Anolis sagrei: one gene and its partner. The protein of the gene in region 1 purifies or fractionates together with the protein of each later gene. This does not show direct contact. Links are inferred from orthologs where the notes say so. Each region holds a gene or a part of one and is shown in the gene's direction. Other genes may lie near its edges.

Region 1 (10,406 bases):
TCTTCAGCTTGGAACCTGGGGAGTGTGTATTACTTTTGAGAGTGCCTTTGTCCTAATGTGGCAAGTGGGTTGGATTTGGCCACACTTGGACTGTGCTTTCATTGTCCCTTGACTAGTCAGCTATTTTGAAATTCATGCTTTTAATAAACAAGCCCCAGGAAGGTTTAAAACAGGGGTCCTCAAACATTTTAAACAGAGGGCCAGGTCACAGTCCTTCAAACTGTTGGAGGGCCGGATTATAATTTGAAAAAAATGAACGAATTCCTATGAACACTGCACATATCTTATTTGTAGTGCAAAAAACGCTTAAAAACAATACAATAACTAAAATGAAGAACAATTTTAACAAATATAAACTTATTAGGATTTCAATGGAAAGTGTGGGCCTGCTTTTGGCTGATGAGATAAGGTTGTTGTTGTTGTGTGCTTTCAAGTCATTTCAGACTTAGGTTGACCCTGACCAAGGGCCAGGTAAATGACCTTGGAGGGCCATATCCGGCCCTCGGGCCTTAGTTTGAGGACCCCTGGTTTAAAGGTTATTAACATGTCCTGTTGTATTACTCGTGCAAGTGTAGACTTGGGTTGAGAGATTTTGAAGAGAACTGCAATTTGCCTGTTCTTCAGATGTGTACATCCTGCCTAATTGTGGAATGGTAGCAATACTCAAAACCAATGCTGCTCAAAAGAGTGGCTTGTGAACCATTGCTAGTTTATGCACGTTTCCAGGAAAGAAGTGGCTGGAGTCAGTAGCCATAAATACATACTGCTTCCTGGCAGATAAAAAAAAGAGATGGTTCCTCACACCAGCTTGAGAAATTGTTGAAAGCCTAAGTTACTAAAAGGGTTTACATAGGTGGTGCAGTGGGTTAAACCACTGAGCTGTTGAACTTGCTGACCGAAAGGTGGGTGGGAGTGGGGTGAGCTCCTCCTGCTAGCCTCAGCTTTTGCCAACCTTGCAGTTCAAAAACAGGCAAATGTGAGTAAATCAATAGGTACTGCCTTGGTGGGAAGGTAGCGGCCCTCCATTCAGTCATGCTGGCCACATTACCTTGGAGGCGTCTATGGACAATGCCGGCTCTTTGGATTAGAAATGGGGATGAGCACTACCCCCCCCCCCCCCCGAGTCTGACATGACTAGACTTAATGTCAGGGGAAACCTTTACCTTTACATAGTTACTTTGGCTACAAAGCATATGTGCACCCATGGGTCTTACATCACCTCTCAAAGTCATATTTGAAAGTATAATTTTTTTAAAAGCCAAAAATAAGTTTTAGGCAAGTGGTTCTGGAATAGTCTGCTGAAAAAGTTTCACATTTCTTTCTTGCATTTGGGGAATAATTCATGATATTATCTCTTACTGAGCAGCAAGGGAACTGTAGTTTATTGTGGCATGTATTCAAAAATTAAAAAACAGGCTTCTTGAAAATCTGGTTTAGTTTGCGGTCAAAAGAATATGTACTATTATATGAAAGGGATAGCCTGTCAGAAAGCAGTGCAGGGATATTAGTGGGAAGCAGTCAAATATCCTTGAGTGAAATGATATGGAAATGTAATACGACTGTTCTGCTGTATCTTCCCCCATCACTTTCAAAGTAGAATGATGATGTTTGGAAAAGAGGTGATTTACTAGATATAACTATTCCAGATGTCAGTGGGAGAAATCTCTTGAATAAAAAAGGGACAAGCCAGGCTAGACTGAAAGAGAGAGGTGGAGCTACCTGAGATTAAAAGTTTACTCCCGTTTTTAATACATTCAGACCATTTCCCCTGTTTGCTTTTAGTTAATCTACATATTACCACCCATGTGGTGGATATAATATAGTGGATCATATTTCACTTGGAGAATGATGACACCACTGTTTGAGATATTACCTAATGCCCATATTTGATGCAGAAGTTGTTATCTTTGCAGCCTGATGGAATATGGGTTCAAGATGGAATAGAACAAGCATGCTATGCAGATTATCTGGAGGTGGAAAACCCCAATGCTTTGGTCTTCAAAACTCTTTGAGACGTTTTATCTGACAGAACAGGAAGGAAACTGCCTCGCTGAAAAGAGGTAGGATGTCTGCTGTCTGGGGTAGCTTTGGGATTGCTCCATCCCCAGCACTTTGTGAGTTCCATCGTTTAACATCTGACAGCAGAAAGCAGCTACCAGGAAAACTCATCAGTTTCCCACTGGGATAATAACCCATTCGTTTTTACTGCACAGAAATAAAATACTACAAATTTGACATGCAGAAAGCCACCCCCTGCCTTTGCCCACAGCTGGGAAATCGACCAGGTCTCACCAAAAGCAACCTTTCTGTGGGAGGCCACCTGATATTTTGGTGAGCTGTGTTAAGCTGTGCCACTGGGCTTGATGAGTTGTTAAAACTTTCATATGGATTACTATAAGAAGCCTCATCTCTACAGGAAAATAAGGTTTGTGGTGCCTGGTGTCGATAGCCTTCCAAGGAAGCAAGAGGAAAGGATCCAGAATGCCTTGTAGGCTATGACAGGTGAGGAGAAATCTTTTACCTTATGTTCATAATTTTTAGAAGTAGTCTTGATGGCCTAAACAGATGGTTGCAATCAGAGATGGGGTTGTTCATAACAGACAGTAAGCCAAGAAATTAATGGAGTATCCATTTGCAACCGCTGTGTTGATCCACACAGCTCCTAAAGTTTGATCAAGTCTTGTCATCTGAACACACAACCAGAATTTATACTATTTTGGATGAATTACATTATCTTCCATTGCAAGCTGTTGAGATTAATGTACACTATATATCTTAAAACTGAATGAAAACTATCATGTAACCAGGAGAGCAGGCTTGCACACTCTGGGCTTCTGGTTTTGAGGCTCCAACTTCCTGAAGCCCTAGCCATCTTGTCCAATGATCAGGAATTCTAGGAGCTGAAGTTCAAAACACCTGGAGGGCCACAGGCTGTGTAGGCCTGTGGGTTTTTTTCGTTTTTGTCATGTCAGGAGCGACTTGAGAAATTGCAAATTGCTTCTGGTGTGAGAGAATTGGCTGTCTGTGAGGAGGTTGCCGAGGGGACGCCCGGATGTTTTGATATTTTTTCATCCTTGTGGGAGGCTTCTCTCATGTCCCTGCATGAGGAGCTGGAGCTGGTAGAGGGAGCTCATCCACCTCTCCCCGGATTCGAACCTGCAACCTGTCAGTCTTCAGTCTTGCTGGCACAGGGGTTTAACCCACTGCGCCACCGGGGGCTCCCTGTGGTAAAGGCTATTTAGAGAGGTGGGCCATAGATGGGCCTCAGTCTCTAGCCATCAGCTGTTGGGTATTTTTTAAGAAAAGAAAGGAAAAATGGGGGTAAGGGAAATGCAGGTACACAGATACTGTAGTTAAGAAAGCCCTGCCTTATCTGACAATATGATGTCTTAAGCAACCTGCTTTGCAGATAAGAAAATGGATGTCCCCCCTGATTTTGGACTGTGGACCCCATTACCTACTGCAGCCTAACATATTAAAGAGGAGAGCACCTATTCCTTATTCATTCCATTTTGTGTAAAAGGGGGAGGAGCTATTCCTAATATCACAGGGTACTGGTGCCTCACCAAACTGCAACTCCCACAATTCCATAGCACTAAGTCAGAGCACTCAAAATAGTTTCAAACTGCATTAGTTTCAAACTGAACCCAGAGAGATGCCACAGGCCTCCTTTGTGGCGGAATGGAAATCACGTGTGGTTCACATTTACCAATCTACACAGTCTTGCTAGAGAAAAGATATTGCACACGGATGATCAGTAAAGAATGTGTTTACTTTTATGCAGACCAACATATATACAGTCATGTGAACAGTTGTATTGACTCACAATGTCCAATAAGATTCAAATGGTTTCCCCGCATGGTCAGCCTGTGAATCACACATTTCAGAAGCAAAAATTCAAAACTTGGCAAGCTCCTGCACAGAAAAACTTAAACATGTAACTTGCCAAAACTCCCAGGCTCAGCTAGCCTCTTGGGGCATGGCTCAACCAATGAGCTTCCTACTTCGCATTTTTCTGTTAACATACCCACCAAATGAGCCCCCGGTGGCACAGTGGGTTAAACCCCTGTGCTAGCAGGACAGAAGACCAACAGGTTGCAGGTTCGAATCCGGGGAGAGGCGGATGAACTCCCTCTATCAGCTCCAGCTCCCCATGCGGGGACATGAGAGAAGCTTCCCACAAGGATGATAAAAAACATCAAATCATCCAGGCATCCCCTGGACAACATCCTTGCAGACGGCCAATTCTGTCACACCAGAAGCAACTTGCAGTTTCTCAAATTGCTCCTGACACAACAAAAAAACCACCAAATGATTTTGCATGCTCCAGCATCCTTGTCTAAGGGAAGCTAATACCACCCACTTAACAAATCCTATACCTTGTTCTCCCTTGCCCAGCCCCCGCTCTGCCCAAACTTACTTATCTTGGAGCCCTTCTAGGGCAATCAGCTTGTTTTGCTACTTTGGCTGGGAAAATAAAAGCAAAGGACTCCTAGGACTTGTAGTTTCACAAGCTTTCACCTTCTCTGCTAAAGAGTGCGGGTGCCTCACCAAACTACAACTCTCAGCATCCCACAGCAGTTAAAATGGTGTCAAGCTGCATTAATTTCACCCTTTCTATGCATCCCTAGACCCTTTGCCCAATGCATGTTTCTTTTCAGATTCTCTTACGCAACTTGGAAAATAGGTTGTTGTAGGTTTGTTTGGCTATATGGCCATGTTCTAGAACAGTGTTTCTCAACCTGGGGGTCGGGACCCCTGGAGGGGTCGCAAGGGGGTGTCAAGAGGGGTACCCAAGGACCATTGAAAAACAGTATTTTCTGTTGGCCATGGGGGTCTTGTGTGGGAAGTTTGGCCCAATTGTATCATTAGTGGGATTCAGAGTGCTCTTTGATTGTACGTGAACTAGAAATCTCAGGATTACGACTCCCAAATCTCAAGGTCTGTTTTCCCCAAACTTCACCAGTGTTCATATTTGGGCATATTGAGTATTCATGCCAAGTTTGGTCCAGAGCCATTATTGTTTGAGTCCACAGTCCTCTCTGGATGTCGGTGAACTACAACTCCAGAACTCAAGGTCAATGCCCACCAAACCCTTCCACTATTTTCTGTGGGTCATGGGAGTTCAGTGTGCCATGTTTGGTTCAATTCCATCATTGGAGTTTTTTGATTGTAGGTGAACTATAAATCCCAGCAACTACAACTCCCAAATGACAAAATCAACACCCCCCCCCCCCAGCCCACAAGTATTCAAATTTGGGCGTATTGGGTATTTGTGCCAAATTTGGTCCAGTGAATAAAAATGCATCCTGCATATCAGATTTTTACATTCCGATTCCTAACAGTAGCAAAATTACCGTTATGAAGCAGCCACGAAAATAATTGCATGGTTGGGGATCACCACAACATGAGGAACTGTATTATGGGGTTATGGCATTAAGAAGGTTGAGAAACACTGTTATAGAAGCATTCTCTCCTGATGTTTTGCCTGCATCTATGGCAAGCATCCTCAGAGGTTGCGAGGTCTGTTGGAAACTAGGAAAATAGGGTTTATATATCTGTCCAAGATGGGAGAAAGAACTCTTGCCTGTTGGAGCTAGGTGGGAATGTTTCAATTGGCCACCTTGATTAGCATTTGATGGCCTGCCATAGGGGCAGGCGAAACGTCAGGAGAGAATGCTTCCAGAACATGGCCATATAGCCCGAAAAACCTTCAACAACCCAGTGATTCCGGTTATGTATTGCCTTCGACAATACATTCAAGTTGGAAAAGCTTGGGGAGGGTTTGAGGATCCTCTCCCAACCCTCCCCAGCGTTTCCTATTGGGGAAGCGGTGCCTCCTCCTTCCTCCAAGCCAGGACCTCCCAAGAGTGGGCGTTTAGGGCGGGCGTAAACCCGACCGGGAGGCGGCTTAAGCCCTTTCCGGGCCCCTCCTCGCTCTTTCGGCGCCGGCATGGCCTCCTTCTTGGACCTGGAGAGCTCGGAGGACGGCGAGAAGGCGTCCGGTTGTGTCAGCCACTTCGTCTTCGGTAGGCGAGGCGTGTTGGGGTGGCACTGGCTGGGAAAGGGGGCAAGCGTTTGGGGATGGGGCAAAATGGGCTTAGGGACTGGGAAGGGCGCCTTGGAGAGGGCTGGGAGGACTGGGTTGGGGTGGGAGGACAGGCACGGGGTTGGAGTTGGGAAGGTCCTATCCAAGGCTTCGAGGAAATAGGCGAGAAAGCCACGCCACGTGGGACTCCCCTTCGAAATTCTCAACTTCCTGCTTGGGCCACCAAACCTGCTTCCCACGTGGTTGAGCTCCATCTGCTCTTTCCACGTGGCTTGGCTCTTTAATCTAGGCTGGGGCTATGAAGCCAGACCCGTTTCCACGCTTTCCTCCAGGAGAAAACTTCCACTTCCTGGCCACACTTCCATCATTAGACTGGAATGCAGCGTTCTCTCGCTTCCTTTTGGAGTCATTGCCAGGAAACGGGGAAATCCCTTTTTCTAACCCCCCCCCCTTTTAAAGTCAGTGTAAAACATTCAGAACACACCTGGCATCTCCCCTCCTCCAACAAAGACTGTTATAATGGACTTCTGTTCAGATAGTTGCATTTCAGCATCTTCTCAATCAGTGGTTCTCAACCTTCCTAATGCCGCGACCCCTTAATACAGCTCCTTATGTTGTGGTGACCCCTAACCAGAAAATTCTTTTCATTGCTACTTCAGAATAGCCATTTTGCTACAGTTATGAATTGTGATATAAATATCTGATATGCAGGATGTATTTTCATTCCCTGGACCAAAATTTGGCACAAATACCCAATATGCTCAAATTTGAATACTGGTGGGGTTAGGAGGGATTGATTTTGTCATTTGGGAGTTGTAGTTGCTGGGATTTATAGTTCACCCACAATCAAAGAGCATTCTGAACTCCACCGACGTTGGAATTGTACCAAACTTGGCACACAGAACTCCCATGACCAACAAAAAGTACTGGAAGGGTTTGACGGGCATTGACCTTGAGTTTTGGAGTTGTAGTTCACCTACATCAAGAGAGCACTCTGGACTCAAACAATGATGGATCTGGACCAAACTTGGCACAAATACTCAATATGCCCAAATGTGCACACTGGTGGAATTTGAGGAAAATAGACCTTCACATTTGGGAGTTGTAGTTGCTGGGATTTATAGTTCATTTACAATCAAGGGCATTCTGAACTCCACCAATGACAGAATTGGGCCAAACTTCCCAGACAGAACCCCCATGACCAACATAAAATACATTTTTTTCTAATGATTGTTTGGCGACCCCTCTGACACCTCCTCGTGACCCCCAGGTTGAGAAACACTGTTCTAAATCAATGTTTCTCCTCCTCCTTAGTGGCGCGTTTTGTGTTCTTTCCTAAAAAAAATTCCTAACCTTATGTTTCCCCAAATCTGGAATCCCTTTCTTGGTCTATGCAAACACAACTTGGAATTACACTAGCACAAGTCCTTTGGGGACATTGTGTACAAACATACCCATAGCCCTTTGACTGCCTCTCTAGCAGCAGCCCTGTGGTACCAAGCAAATGTTGCCAAGCAGAGGCTTTGGGGAGAGTAGAACTGCAGCACAGTGCCTTCCAGTTGCCTTTGCTTCCCCTTCCAGACATCCTCCTAACACAGTGGTTTTCAACCTTCCTAGTGTCACAACCCCTTAATACAGTTCCTCATGTTGTGGTGACCCCCAACCATAAAATTATTTCCGTTGCTACTTCACAACTGTAATTTTACTACTGTTCTGAATCATCATATAAATATCGGAAGTGCAGGATGCATTTTAATTTATTGGACCAACTTTGGCACAAATAACAGATACGCCCAAATTTGAATGCTGGTGGGGTGAGGGGGGTGCATTGGTTTCATCACTTGGGAGTTGTAGTTGCTGGGATTTATAGTTCACTTACAATCAAAGATCATTCTGAGCTCCACCAATGATGGAATTGAGCCAAACTTCCCACACAGAGCTCCCATGACCAACAGAATTTTCTGGAAGGGTGTGGTGGGCATTGACCTTGAATTTTAGAGCTGTAATTCACCTACATCCAGAGAGCTCTATGGACTCAAACAATGATGGATCCAGGCCAAACTTGGCACAAATACCCAACATGCCCAAGTGTGAACACTGGTGGTGTTTGGGGAAAACAGACCTTGACATTTGGGAGTTGTAGATGCTGGGATTTATAGTTCACCTACACTCAAAGAGCAGTCTGAACCCCACCAAAGACTGAATTGGGCCAAACTTCCCACACAGAACTCCAATGCCTTGAAGGGACTCGCTGGCATGAGCCTCCCTCCAGTCTCGCGCTCTCTCTCACCCAATTCCCAATTCGCCAAGCACACCTGCCCAAGGAGGGGAGAGGAGAGACTCCCTGCTTGGAGTCTCAGAAACAGCCCTCCCCTTGGCTGAGAGGCCGCCCAATCGCAGCGGAGGAGGGCTTTTGGTGGGAGGATTCGCTGTCTGTTTCCCAAAAGGAAGAGAAGGACAAGCAGAGAGATCTTCAGCCATTTCTGCCAAATGGGTTTCTAAGACCATCAGAAATATGTTTTCTGGTGATCTGTGGCGACCCCTCTGAAACCCCCTTGTGACTTCCCCAGGGGTCCCGACCCCAGGTTGAAAGATGCAGACAATTTAAAAATTCACAGTAGATTCTCAAAATTATTGTACACCAGGCAACCATCACTCAAATACAAAATGGTCTATTTAACACAGGCATGGGCAAGCTGTGGGCCTTCTCCCTTCAACTTTCCTTATACACATTATGGATAAGACTCTAGATCAGGCATGGGCAAACTTGGGCCCTCCAGGTGTTTTGGACTTCAACTCCCACAGTTCCTAACAGCATCAGAAATGCTGTAGTTTTGCTTTTGAAGCTTGCCTAGCAAGTGCGACATACATTTGAGGCTGTTTGTTTTTTTGATCCTTAGGATGCGAGTTGAACAGCGCTACCCGATCCTTCACTTTTCAAGTGAATGAAGAGGATGACTCTGACCATTCCCTCGTTCTGAGTACGGTAAGAGAGGTCCCGACTTGAGGTGTGGATACTAGCACATCACACCAACCTTGTTATAACACTTTATTGTGATAGCCACAAGTCAACCAAAACTTCTAATGGAGAAGGAATGGCTAATTTCAGCTGTTTATCATCCAGTCTTGTTTCTGTGTTAGCTGCAGAGAAGGGAGATGCCTTTTTCTGACTACCATGGAAAACAGAGAGCTAACCAAGTTGACTGAACACTCTGTCCTTTGCCTGCCTACTTTTAACCAGTCCACCAAGAGGTTAGAAGACTCAGAGTCCCCCCACCTTTTCCACAAGTACTGGTCTCATAGCAAACTAGTAAAAATGTACGAGGGTTGAATGAAAAGTAATGCCTCCACCTTCGTAACTCCTCAACAGATGTCAGTACTGGTATGCAGCAGGTACTGGTTTGTCCTCTACAGTTCCATTTTGGCGGGAAGCCTTAGCATTGAACGGTTGTGTTGTTAAAGTGCATGGAACCCTGCACAGACGGTCGGTCAATGCGACTTAAGCAGCGTGCAGCCATTGAATTCTGGACAGCAGAGGGAGTCTAACCTTCAGAAAATACTGTGGTTCTGTTTTTGCTTTTAGGTAACTGAGGCTGACTATGGGTCAGGGTTGTACGTCCTTGCTTTTGTAGACAAGGGGTATGATCACTGAGTTATTTCCCAAGGCTAACATTAAGATTAGGAGGTAGCAGATCCAAGTGTAGGGGTTTTGTGTGAGTGTCTGGCATTGTGAGAATAAAAAATGGGCTTAGAGAAGGCCTGGGCAAACTTCACCCCTCCAGCTGTTTTGGACCTTAACTCCAAGAAATCCCAGCCAGCTTGCCAGCAGTTAGGAATTGTGGGAGTTGATGTCCAGAACCCTTGTTGGGGCGACGTTTGCCCATACCTGGCTTAGAGGCTTTTTGTCTGACCTAGCATTAAATGAACAAACATTCTCCTCTCTTCATAATCCCCACATTTGCTCCAGAGCATCCCCCAATCCTCCAAAGCACATTTTGAGTGAGAAATCCTGCTAGGAACCACCCTTTTACTTCTCCTTTTAATACCAATTTATAGGAGATCTTAGTATCCCACCCTAAGGCTGTCCATGTTATTGTTTGGCAAATGGAGGCTATTTCAACTTTTTTTCTTTGACTCCTATTTTTAAGGTTTGCCTGTCAGCAAGTGCCAAAGATGAATGCAACATTGTGGAGCTTGTGGGACGTGACTACCAGAACAAGGAGGTTACTGTCCCAGTGGCCAACCTGAAATCGTCGTGTCTTCCCATGGTAAAATGGTCTACTTTTTTTTATTATTTACTTTGCTTATATACCGCTGTTCTCAGCTTGGGGGCGACTCACAGCGGTGTACAACATAG
Region 2 (10,279 bases), about 180 Mb from region 1:
AATCTTTAAGAAACACTATACAAAAAACTACAGCGATTAGGAAAGACGTAGAATATGAAAACCAACATAGAATTAAGAAAAACATGAACACACATATTGGAAACTTCCTGATTTTTCCTTACCAATGTCGTGCTGTAGACTGAAGGACACACTACCATCAGAATGGATGTAGAGGTTGTCAATATCTAAAATTATCATGTGCAAGACAGAATCCAGTCCTTGAGCTAAAATCTGTTTCATCTTATAACAAGACTGGAAACAAATAGCCCAAGCCTGTTCCTCATTTATGGGCTGCTCATAATATCTCAGAAATTCAGCCAGTGAGACCTTTGTGAGATCCTTTGTACACATGACTGCGTTGCCAGAATTCTTCCCCCCTTCCATTGCTATGTTGTATTACTTTTAAGTATTTTACAACTAAACAACAGTAAAAGGCCTTCCTGGGATCTCCTTTATTTGTTCATAAAAGGTCTCCAGCAGGTGTGGTTGGTTTTTGGAAAATAAATGGAACTGGCTTTATTAAAGGGCAACTAACGACTTGCCCAGTCTCATCAAAGTGAGTTTGCAGCAATCAAGTCTAATTTTATAAACCCTCTAAAATCAGCACAGTAAATAAAGAGCAACACTCAAAAAGCAGGGAAATTCCATACAAGAGTCAGTCAGGGCCAGCTAACACCTCTCAACAAAGGTTTCCCCCAGGCAGCACCAACCAGGCTTTGAACCTGCAAGGCCATTCAGTGCTCATCAAGGTGGCCAACTGCAACATTTCCACTTGCCTCAAGCAGACAAGAGCTCTTTCTCCCACCTTGGATATATAAACTTCACTTTCCTAGTTTCCAACAGACCCCTCAACCTTTGAGGATGCCTGCCATAGATGTGGGCGAAACATCAGGAGAGAATACTTCTGGAACATGGCCATACAGCCAAGAGAACTCATAGCAACCCGGTGATTCCGGCCATGAAAGCCTTCAACAACAAATCAAATGTAATTTCAACATTTTCATTATGTATTTATTTGAACAGGCATCCATATATCTACAGAAGTAATAAAACATTTATTCATTTTAATTGACTCACTTTCCCACTAGCATAGTCTTCAGATACAAAGACCAAACTACAGCAATCCTTAACAAGGCAAGAAAAATCAATGGGGAAAACTTTATTCTCCTCTGAATTAATGGCTGGAGGACATAAAGGGGTGCATGAAGAAAAACAAATTGAAATTGATCCACATAAGACAGAGGTATTTGCTGTCAAGGGATGGAGCTGTGTCAACCAATTCTGGATGGGGCGACACTCCCCCTGAAACACTGTGTTTGCAGGTTGGAAGCCCTCCTGGATCCGTCTCTTCATATGACAGCCCAGATAGATGCAAAGATCAGAAGTGCTTACTACCAGTTTCAGCTGATATGCCAGCTGTGGCCCTTCCTAAAATTCGAGGACCTAAAGATAGGTAGTTCATGCACTAGTAACCTCAAGGCTGGACTTCTGCAGTGCGCTTTATTTACATTGAGTTACCTCTGAACCAAATTCAGAAAAGCTAATTAATTAAAAACAAGTATTGTCGAAGGCTTTCATGGACGGAATCACTGGAATGTTGTATGGACGTGTAGCATTTTCTACTGACATTTCACTGCATCTGTGGCTGGCATCTTCAGAGGTACTTCCGAGTAAACGTTGTGGTTTGTTTGGGGGGGGGGGGGAGACTCTGATAGTGTTGGGTATTTTCAGGACCAGAGTCTATGGATATGTGATTTGGACAACAAAAGCTTATGTAAAAACTACATTGAATTTATTGCTACTTCATATTTACTGGGAAGAAGCCCCCCCCCCCCCCCGTATTCTGAAAACACCTCATTCTCAACTACTTCAATGCAGTCTGCTCCTAGACCACAACTTTCCAAACTTTGCATAGCACCAATGTAAAGAAAAATGACAAAAATCTTACAAATCATGTATTGGTAAAAAAATGTAAATGGAATTTTTTCATGAGATATGTTGTGTCCCCATACAGCTTGTTATTACAATTTATGTGTGTGTCCATATCCCTTATAAGGGGTTGGTTTAACCCCCAGTTTGCTAGTGAAACTGAATTACTGTGTCATTAAATGACGCATGTCTAAAACGTGTGTCACCAACATGAAATCTTTAGGAAAAGTTCATTCTAGGCTATGAACTTTAGAGTATTTGAGCACAACTGTTCTTATCTGATGATTGCATCTTCAATCCTGTTATGAGTTTGGCTCCTTTAATTACATTAATTCTATATTTCTACACAATATCTTTTAAAAAATGTTTTTATTGATTTTCACAAAGTTTACAATAAAACATTCATTCATAAAAGGTTTCTACACAATATCTTTAAATACAGCTGTCAGCATGTTTTGCCTGGCAAACCTCATTGGAAACCAGCAACATAAAATGTGCTTAATAACCTTTAATGTTAGGGAATGTTTTCCCTGCATACATAGAAACCACCAAATGCAGCATTGCCTATTATTATTATTTGAAACACAACAAGATTAATACACAGCAAACAAGATCACTATGCTGGCTGTTGTATTGAATCACACGTTGGACACTTAATAATAAGTGATCCAATTCAACAGCCAGCATAGTGATCTTGTTTGCTGTGTGTTAATCTTGTTGTGTTTCAAATAATAATAATAATAATAATCATCATCATCATCATCATCATCATCACACAGACCTAGACGCTTGGGAAGTATTTGACTTTTGATTTTTTGATATGAAATCCAGCCTATAGATCTCATTTGCTGTGACATACTGTGCTTTTGTGTCAGTAAAACAATACACCATGAGTAACAAAATTTGGCAACCCACACTTTTATAGAGGGACACTGCCTGCCATAAACATCATAAACTTCCCAAGTGTCTAGGACTGTGTGATGTATCAGTGAATAATGCATGTAGATCCCAGTAGAGTGGTCTTTTGCAGCTGACAGATGGTAATTTTGTCAGCGCCGATTGTGTTTAAGTGCAGGCCAAGGTCTTTAGGCACTGCACCCAGTGTGCCGGATGCCACTGGGACCACCTTTACTGGCTTGTACCAGAGTCTTTGCAGTTCGATCTTTAAATCCTATTATTATTATTATTATTATTATTATTATTATTTGAAACACAACAAGATTTGTACACAGCAAACAAGATCACTCTGCTGATTGCTGTATTGGATCACATGTCGGACATTTCTCGAGTGTCTAGGGCTATGTGATGTATCGGCAAATAATGTGTGCAGATCCTGATAGGGTGGCCTCTTGCAGCTGACAGATGGTAATTTTATCAGTGCCGATTGTGTTTATGTCCATGCCAAGGTCTTTAGGCACCTCACCAGTGTGCCGAACACCACTGGGACCACCTTGACTGGCTTGTGCCAGAGTCTTTGCAGTTCGATCTTTAAATCCCATTATTATTATTATTATTATTATTATTGACACAAAAGCACAGTATGTCACAGCAAACGAGATTTATATGCTGTATTTCATATCACAAAATCACAAGTCGAACACTTCCCAAGTGTCTAGGACTGTGTGATGTATTTTCGAATGATGCACGCAGATCCAAGTAAGGTGTCCTTTTGCAGTTCACAGATCATGATTTTGTCGATGTTTATTGTTTCCAAATGCCGGCTGAGATCTTTTGGCACAGCACCCAGTGTGCCAATGACCACTGGGACCACCTGTACTGGTTTATGCCAGAGCCTTTGCAGTTCAATTTTGAGGTCTTGATAGCGGCTGAGTTTTTCCTGTTGTTTTTCCTCAATGTGACTGTCACCCGGTATGGCGACATCAATAATCCAGACTTTTTTCTTTTCCACAATCGTGATGTTTGTTGTATTGTGTTCCAAAACTTTGTCAGTCTGGATTCGAAAGACTGAGTTATTATTATTATTATTATTATTATTATTATTATTATTATTATTTGAAACATAACAAGATGAGTCCACAGCAGAAACTCTGCTGGCTGTTGAATTGGATCACACGTGGAGAGATTCCATCTGAACATGAGGAAGAACTTCCTGACTGTGAGAGCCGTACAGCAGTGGAACTCTCTGCCCCAGAGCGTGGTGGAGGCTCCTTCGTTGGAAGCTTTTAAACAGAGGCTGGATGGCCATCTGTCGGGGGTGATTTTATTATTATTATTATTATTATTATTATTATTAAACTTTATTTGTACCCCGCTAGCATCTCCCGAAGGACTCGATGCGGCTTACAAAGGCCAAGGCCTCAACACACAATATAACAATACAAAACCTAAGGCAAATTAAAAACAATTAAAGCAATATAAACCACAAACAATAAACAATACACTAAGACACAATAAAACTGGGCTGGGCCAGAGTAATGGGTACAGGATTAAAAGTGCTGATGTTACAGGTGGTGTATAAGGCATTATAGGGCAAGTGCAGTGTGCGGTATGCAGCAATCTTAGTTCTAGTAAAGTGCTTATGGGACTTGGTATTGGAGATTTCCTAATTTGGGAAGGCACATCGGAACAGCCAGGTCTTCAAGTTCTTTCTGAAGACTGCCAATGTAGGGGCCTGTCTAAGATCTTTGGGGAGGGTGTTCCAGAGTCGGGGGGCCACCACGGAAAAGGCCCTGTCTCGTGTCCCCACCAAACGTGCTTGCGATGCAGGTGAGATCACGAGCAGGGCCTCTCCAGATGACAGAAGTGAACGCGTGGGTTCGTAGATGGAGATGCGGTCACGCATCTCCATCTACGAATATTGATTTGAATGCAATATTCCTGCTTCTTGGCAGGGGGTTGGACTGGATGGCCCATGAGGTCTCTTCCAACTCTTTGATTCTATGTGGGACACTTCCCAAGTGTCTAGGACTGTGTGATGTATCGGCGAATAATATGTGCAGATCCCAGTAAGGTGGCAGATGGTAATTTTGTCAGCGCCAATTGTGTTTAAGTGCAGGCCAAGGTCTTTAGGCACTGCACCCAGTGTGCCAATCACCACTGGGACCACCTTGACTGGCTTGTGCCACAGTCTTTGCAGTTCCATCTTTAAATCCTCGTATCATGTCAGCTTTTCCAGTTGTTTCTCTGCAATCCTGCTGCCACCTGGGATTGTGACATCAACAATACCTTATTATTATTATTATTATTATTATTATTATTATTATTTATTAGACAAAGAAAAGAAGTTGGATGGAGAGTGCTGGAGCGAGCTTTTCCAAGTTCTTAGAGGAAAGTATGCCACAGCGCCTCCTGCCGGCGGCTGAGAGCGAGGCAGAGGAAATGAGCCCTGAACTATGGCTCCCCCTGCGGGACAAAAAACTTGGTTGAGTCTACGTTTATCTCCCTCCCTCCTGAGATGTGGTTTAATCCAGGAAAGATGGCGGCGCCCAGAGGAGAGGAAGAGATGTGGAACCGGCTGCGCGTCCCATGGCCGGGCTGCAGCGCTCCCCTTGCTGTACCGGATCACCATGCTTCGGGTAAAGGGAGGCGAAGGAAGGAGGGTCAGCCGAGGGGGCCTAGGTGCCCCTGACTGTCTGCCAGGCCACGTGGATCCGAGGTGCATCTGGACTGTGGTATTAATCAAGGCAGTGGCGCCATATAAGTAACTAGCTGTCCCCTGCCACGCGTTGCTGTGGCCCAGTCTGTTGATCTGGAAAATAGAGTAATGAGGAAGTTTTGGTTTCTAATATATGTAATTTCTTTTTGCTTGTGGGTAAACAGTATTTCTTGCTGTTTCTTTGTCCGTGTTGATGCAGAGATTATCTGGTTTGCCTACTCTGGAACATGCAACATATCATTGTCCTTCTTTAAGGGTCCCTTTCAAATCTAGGATACTATATCTCTGTGTATGTGAATCATATCTATCATCTATCTATCTATCTATCTATCTATATCTATGGCTCAATGGGTCTTTGTCAGGAGGACTTTGATTATATTTTCTTGTCCTGGTGAAGGGAGTAAGACTGGATGGCCTTAAGTATTTTCTGTTGGTCATGGGGGTTCTGTGTGGGAAGTCTGCCCCAATTCTGTCGTTCGTGGGGTTCAGAATGCTCTTTGATTGTAGGTGAACTGTGAATCCCAGTGACTACAACTTCCAAATGTCAAGGTCTATTTCCCCCAAACTCCATCTGTGTTCATATTTGGGCATATTGAGTGCTTGTGCCAAGTTTGGTCCAGATCCATCATTGTTTGAGTCCACAGTGCTCCCTGGATGTAGGTGAACTATAACTCCCAAACTTAAGGTCAGTGCCCACCAAACCCTTCCAATATTTTCTGTTGCTCATGGGAGTTTTGTGTGCCAAGTTTGGTTCAATTCCATCGTTGTTGGAGTTTAGAATGCTGTTTGATTGTAGGTGAACTATAAATCCCAGCAACTACAACTCCCAAATGACAAAAATCATAAATTTTTGAGTGATGGTCACGCCTTGTGTTGTGAGACATTTTGTTGCCAAATTTGGTGTGATTTCGTTCATAGGTTCTTTTGTTTTTAAGGTACTCATTATGCACAGAGCGTTTTTATATATATAGAGAGACTATGTAGATAATGCCTGGATCAACTTGGACCCTCCCGGTTTTTTGGACTTCAATTCCCACAATTCCTAAGCAGCCGAGGGGAGAAAGGAAAGGGCCTGAGGCTGTTAGGAATTGTGGGAATTGAAGTCCAAAACACCAAAAGGGAGGGCCCAAGTTGGCCCAGGCCTGCTGTAACTGCACCTTGGCAGAACCTGGGCGATTCAGGATTTTCATTGGCTATCGAAGACTGCTTGAACACCAAGCACAAAGTAGCTGCACGCAATAACATCCTTTAAAAACTTACTGGCAGAACATGGGGCGTATACCCAAAATTAATAAGAAGAGCCCTGGCCTTGTCTGGGCATGGCCCCATGTAAGCCACCCCGAGTCCCTTCGGGGAGATGGAGGTGGGTAGAAAGATAAAGTTGTTGTTGTTGTTTTACTCAGCTGCTGAATATGCCTGTCCTATTTGGCATAAGTCTGCCCATGCAAAACAGGTGAACATAGCTTTGAATGAAACATGCAGAATAATCACAGGATGCCTTAAACCTACACCTGTTGATAAACTCTACAAGCTAGCTGGCATTGCCCCCCTCCCCCATGTGTGAAATGTGAGAGGAATAAGGTTGAACACTGTGAAAGCCATCCACTACCAGGCTACCAGCCTCCTCCCAGCAGACACAAATCAAGGAAAAGCTTTATGAGAACTACCACTCCTCTTGATGTCCCCCCAGCTATAGCAAGGGTATCCCTCTGGGCAGCTAAACCAAGAAATCCCAACTGGATGGCCCCCCATGAGGGTCTTCCTTCAGAGGCAAACCAAGAATGGGCAACCTGGAAGTCCCTGAATAGACTCAGAAGCGGAGTGGGCAGATCAAAAGACAACCTCGCAAAATGGCACTACCTAAAAGAATCCCCCATCTTGTGTGATAGTGGAGCAGAACAGACAACTCCGCATCTGTTTGCTTGTCCACTGTGCCCTGCCTCATGTACAGAGAAGGAGTTGTTGGAGGCTACAGACAGTGCAGTTGTTGTTTCCCGTTTTTGGTCAAAAGATATTTAGCCGCCTTTGTTTGACATTTTGGAACACTTGCGTATACAGTAGACTCAGGCCTCATCTGCACTGCCATAAAATCCAGAGTATCTGTTTTGTATTGGATTATATGAGTCTACATTGCCATATAATCCAGTTCAAAGCAGATAATCTGCATTCAGAAACTGGATTATATGGCAGTGTAGCTCCAGCCTGGGGCTTGGTAGATGCTGGACAAATGTTGTATCTGGTTGTATGCGAGTTTCCATGAAAAATAGACCTTAATAATACTGCACCCCATACTATACCATACCGTAAACTGTATTTATTTAGACATCTGATAAAAGACTTCAATGCACTTTTCTTGTGTTGCTATGTGGAAGAGATTCTTGCAAATTTAGGTAATTGTCTTTTTATCTTTTCCAGTGGGATGCTTTGCTGTTGTTAGGAAAGAGGGCCATGCTCTTAACAACATGCTAAGAGATAAAGCCATGGTTGCAGAACAGTGCCTCCTCCGTACTGTCATCTATCGTTTCCGCTACAAGATGAGTCGTCATAAGCCGTATCAGTCTCTCAAACAGGTCAGAATGAGACAGTTGCCTGGAAACATATTTGGACATTGTCTTCTCTATTTCCTGAACAATAGGAAGAACTACCTGATCATAAAAGTTTTTCAACAGTGGAACTCTCTGCATTTGTTAAGGGCTTTTAAACAGAGGCTGGATGGCCATCTGTTGGGGTGCTTTGATTGTGCTTTTCCTGCATGGCAGGGAGTTGGACTAGATGGCCCATGTGATCTCTTCCAACTCTGATTCTATTTGAAACTTTATCTTGAGAAAGAATGTCTGTTTATAGGTATTCATCCTAGGATAGAAACTATTTTTATTCTCCTAAATTTAAGAACTTGAGCTTGCTTTCATTTATTGGAGAAATTATATTGTTCATTGTCTCATTGGGAAAAAAGTGTGAATCTGATAGATTAATGTCTGTGTTTTTTAAAAAGAGAGCCTCAGTTGGATATGTTTCTTAGTCAGTGTCTGAAATATTTCATTAACATAATGCTGTTGTTCTATCTATCTATACACACACACATATGAATGAGTGCGTATTATGCAAACCTCATTTCAATGTGTGTGAATTCACTTACTTTCACAATGCTATAGAAATGAATGAACACATAGCTTGTTGAATAGGAAGTGTTTTTAAAGGGAGCGGCAGTGCATTCTACCTATACATAAGCACTGCTAGTTAGGCTCTGATTTTTCACAGTGACGGGCACTTAACTGACTGATTGTTCATTTGACTTACAGTTATTGCCTTGATGTAGAATAGAAAGATGTCACTCTTGCATAATCTCATACATACTAATTATGGACTTAGAAATATACTGAAATGTGTCTAGATTAAAAGTTTTATTTCTCAGCTAATCTCTTAATGTACTCTTACCCCCCTTCCAGGTAGAACAATGCTTGAAGCGTTTAAATCTAATGAATCTGGAAAAGGCAATTCAAGATCTTACTCAACTGGGCCCCATGTAAGTAGCATAAACTAGATGATCTTTATGGGAGTTTCGGTCTTATAGTGTTTACTTTCCCATGTTTGCTAGGTTACGCACTTAGCTAAATTTATATTGGCTAAAATCCATATAATTCAAAGCAACTAAATTTTTGTCATTAGTGTATTCTGGTGGACCAACTTGATGTAGCGTAAATCAGAAATTCAGCTAACCTATTTTAAATAGCCATATTCTAGAAGCATTCTCTCCTGACATTTCACCTGCATCTATGGCAGGCACCCCCATAGATGCAGTCGAAATGTCAGGAGAATGCTTATAGAACATGGCAATATAGCCCGAAAAACCTACAACAACCCAATGATTCCAGCCATGGAGGCCTTCGACAATACTATTTTAAATAATTCCCATATTCATTTTTGTATACCTACTGCCAAAGCTGCTAGATCACAGTGTGGTGGGATCTCCTTCCCTATGGAAGGCTGAATGACTATATTTCAGAGGTACTTTGATTGTGCTTTTCCTGCATGGCAGGGGGTTGGACTAGATATCCCATGTAATTTCTTCTAACCCTATTATTCTATGATTCTGTGACTTGCCATTTTTAGGTTTATTTAACGTGTAATCAGCAACCATACCATTGTATTACATTTCTAACAGAACAAAACAAACAGATTAAAAAAAACCCACAAATTTTGCAAACTTGGTAGTTGACTAAATGTCCTTTGACCAGTATCTGGCCACTTGGAGTGCCTCTGGTGTTGCCGCAAGGAGGTCCTCCATTGCGCAAGTAGCAGGGCTCAGGTTGCATTGCAGCAGGTGGTCTGTGGTTTGCCCATTTTTAGGTAACTTGTTCCAGATCACTACTCCAAACCACTAGAAAACACTGCAGTTTTCTTGCCTTACCCTCCCACAATACTAGCCTCTCTCCATAAAAGGTTGACTTCCTGAAAAGAAACTAGAAGTGTCACAACGTCACTTTTAGTTTTTTAGTGATGCAAAAGGGTTGCCCTTCAGAGGTACACAGAGGCAAACATTGTCTTCTCTAGTTGCTCTCTCTTGGTGTAAGAAAGAGGATGTGTTCAGTAGAACACTTCAGTAGATAATAAAGTGACATTTAGAAATGTTACACAAATGGTAGTCAACCCAAGCAAAGGTGTCCTCCCCCCCCCCCCCCCCGGCTTGTTCTTGTTTCTTCTTTTGTGTAACAAACATAATAAATCAGCAATACT

The links.
Region 2: the proteins of NPM3 (region 1) and NEPRO purify together in Homo sapiens (affinity purification with mass spectrometry; 4 studies listed by BioGRID and IntAct, with this or other methods). This does not show direct contact. The link is inferred for Anolis sagrei from reciprocal best matches to the Homo sapiens genes NPM3 and RMP64.

The regions. Positions count from the first base shown.
Region 1 is NC_090023.1:216,716,897-216,727,302, reverse strand, and holds the start of NPM3 (nucleoplasmin-3), read left to right. Parts: upstream 1-5,902; 5' UTR 5,903-5,953; coding exon 5,954-6,029; intron 6,030-8,949; coding exon 8,950-9,035; intron 9,036-10,197; coding exon 10,198-10,317; intron 10,318-10,406. UniProt on the Homo sapiens protein: Plays a role in the regulation of diverse cellular processes such as ribosome biogenesis, chromatin remodeling or protein chaperoning. Modulates the histone chaperone function and the RNA-binding activity of nucleolar phosphoprotein B23/NPM.
Region 2 is NC_090023.1:40,823,499-40,833,777, forward strand, and holds the start of NEPRO (nucleolus and neural progenitor protein), read left to right. Parts: upstream 1-5,344; coding exon 5,345-5,465; intron 5,466-5,475; exon of another isoform or gene 5,476-5,545; intron 5,546-7,960; coding exon 7,961-8,115; intron 8,116-8,991; coding exon 8,992-9,068; intron 9,069-10,279. UniProt on the Homo sapiens protein: May play a role in cortex development as part of the Notch signaling pathway. Downstream of Notch may repress the expression of proneural genes and inhibit neuronal differentiation thereby maintaining neural progenitors.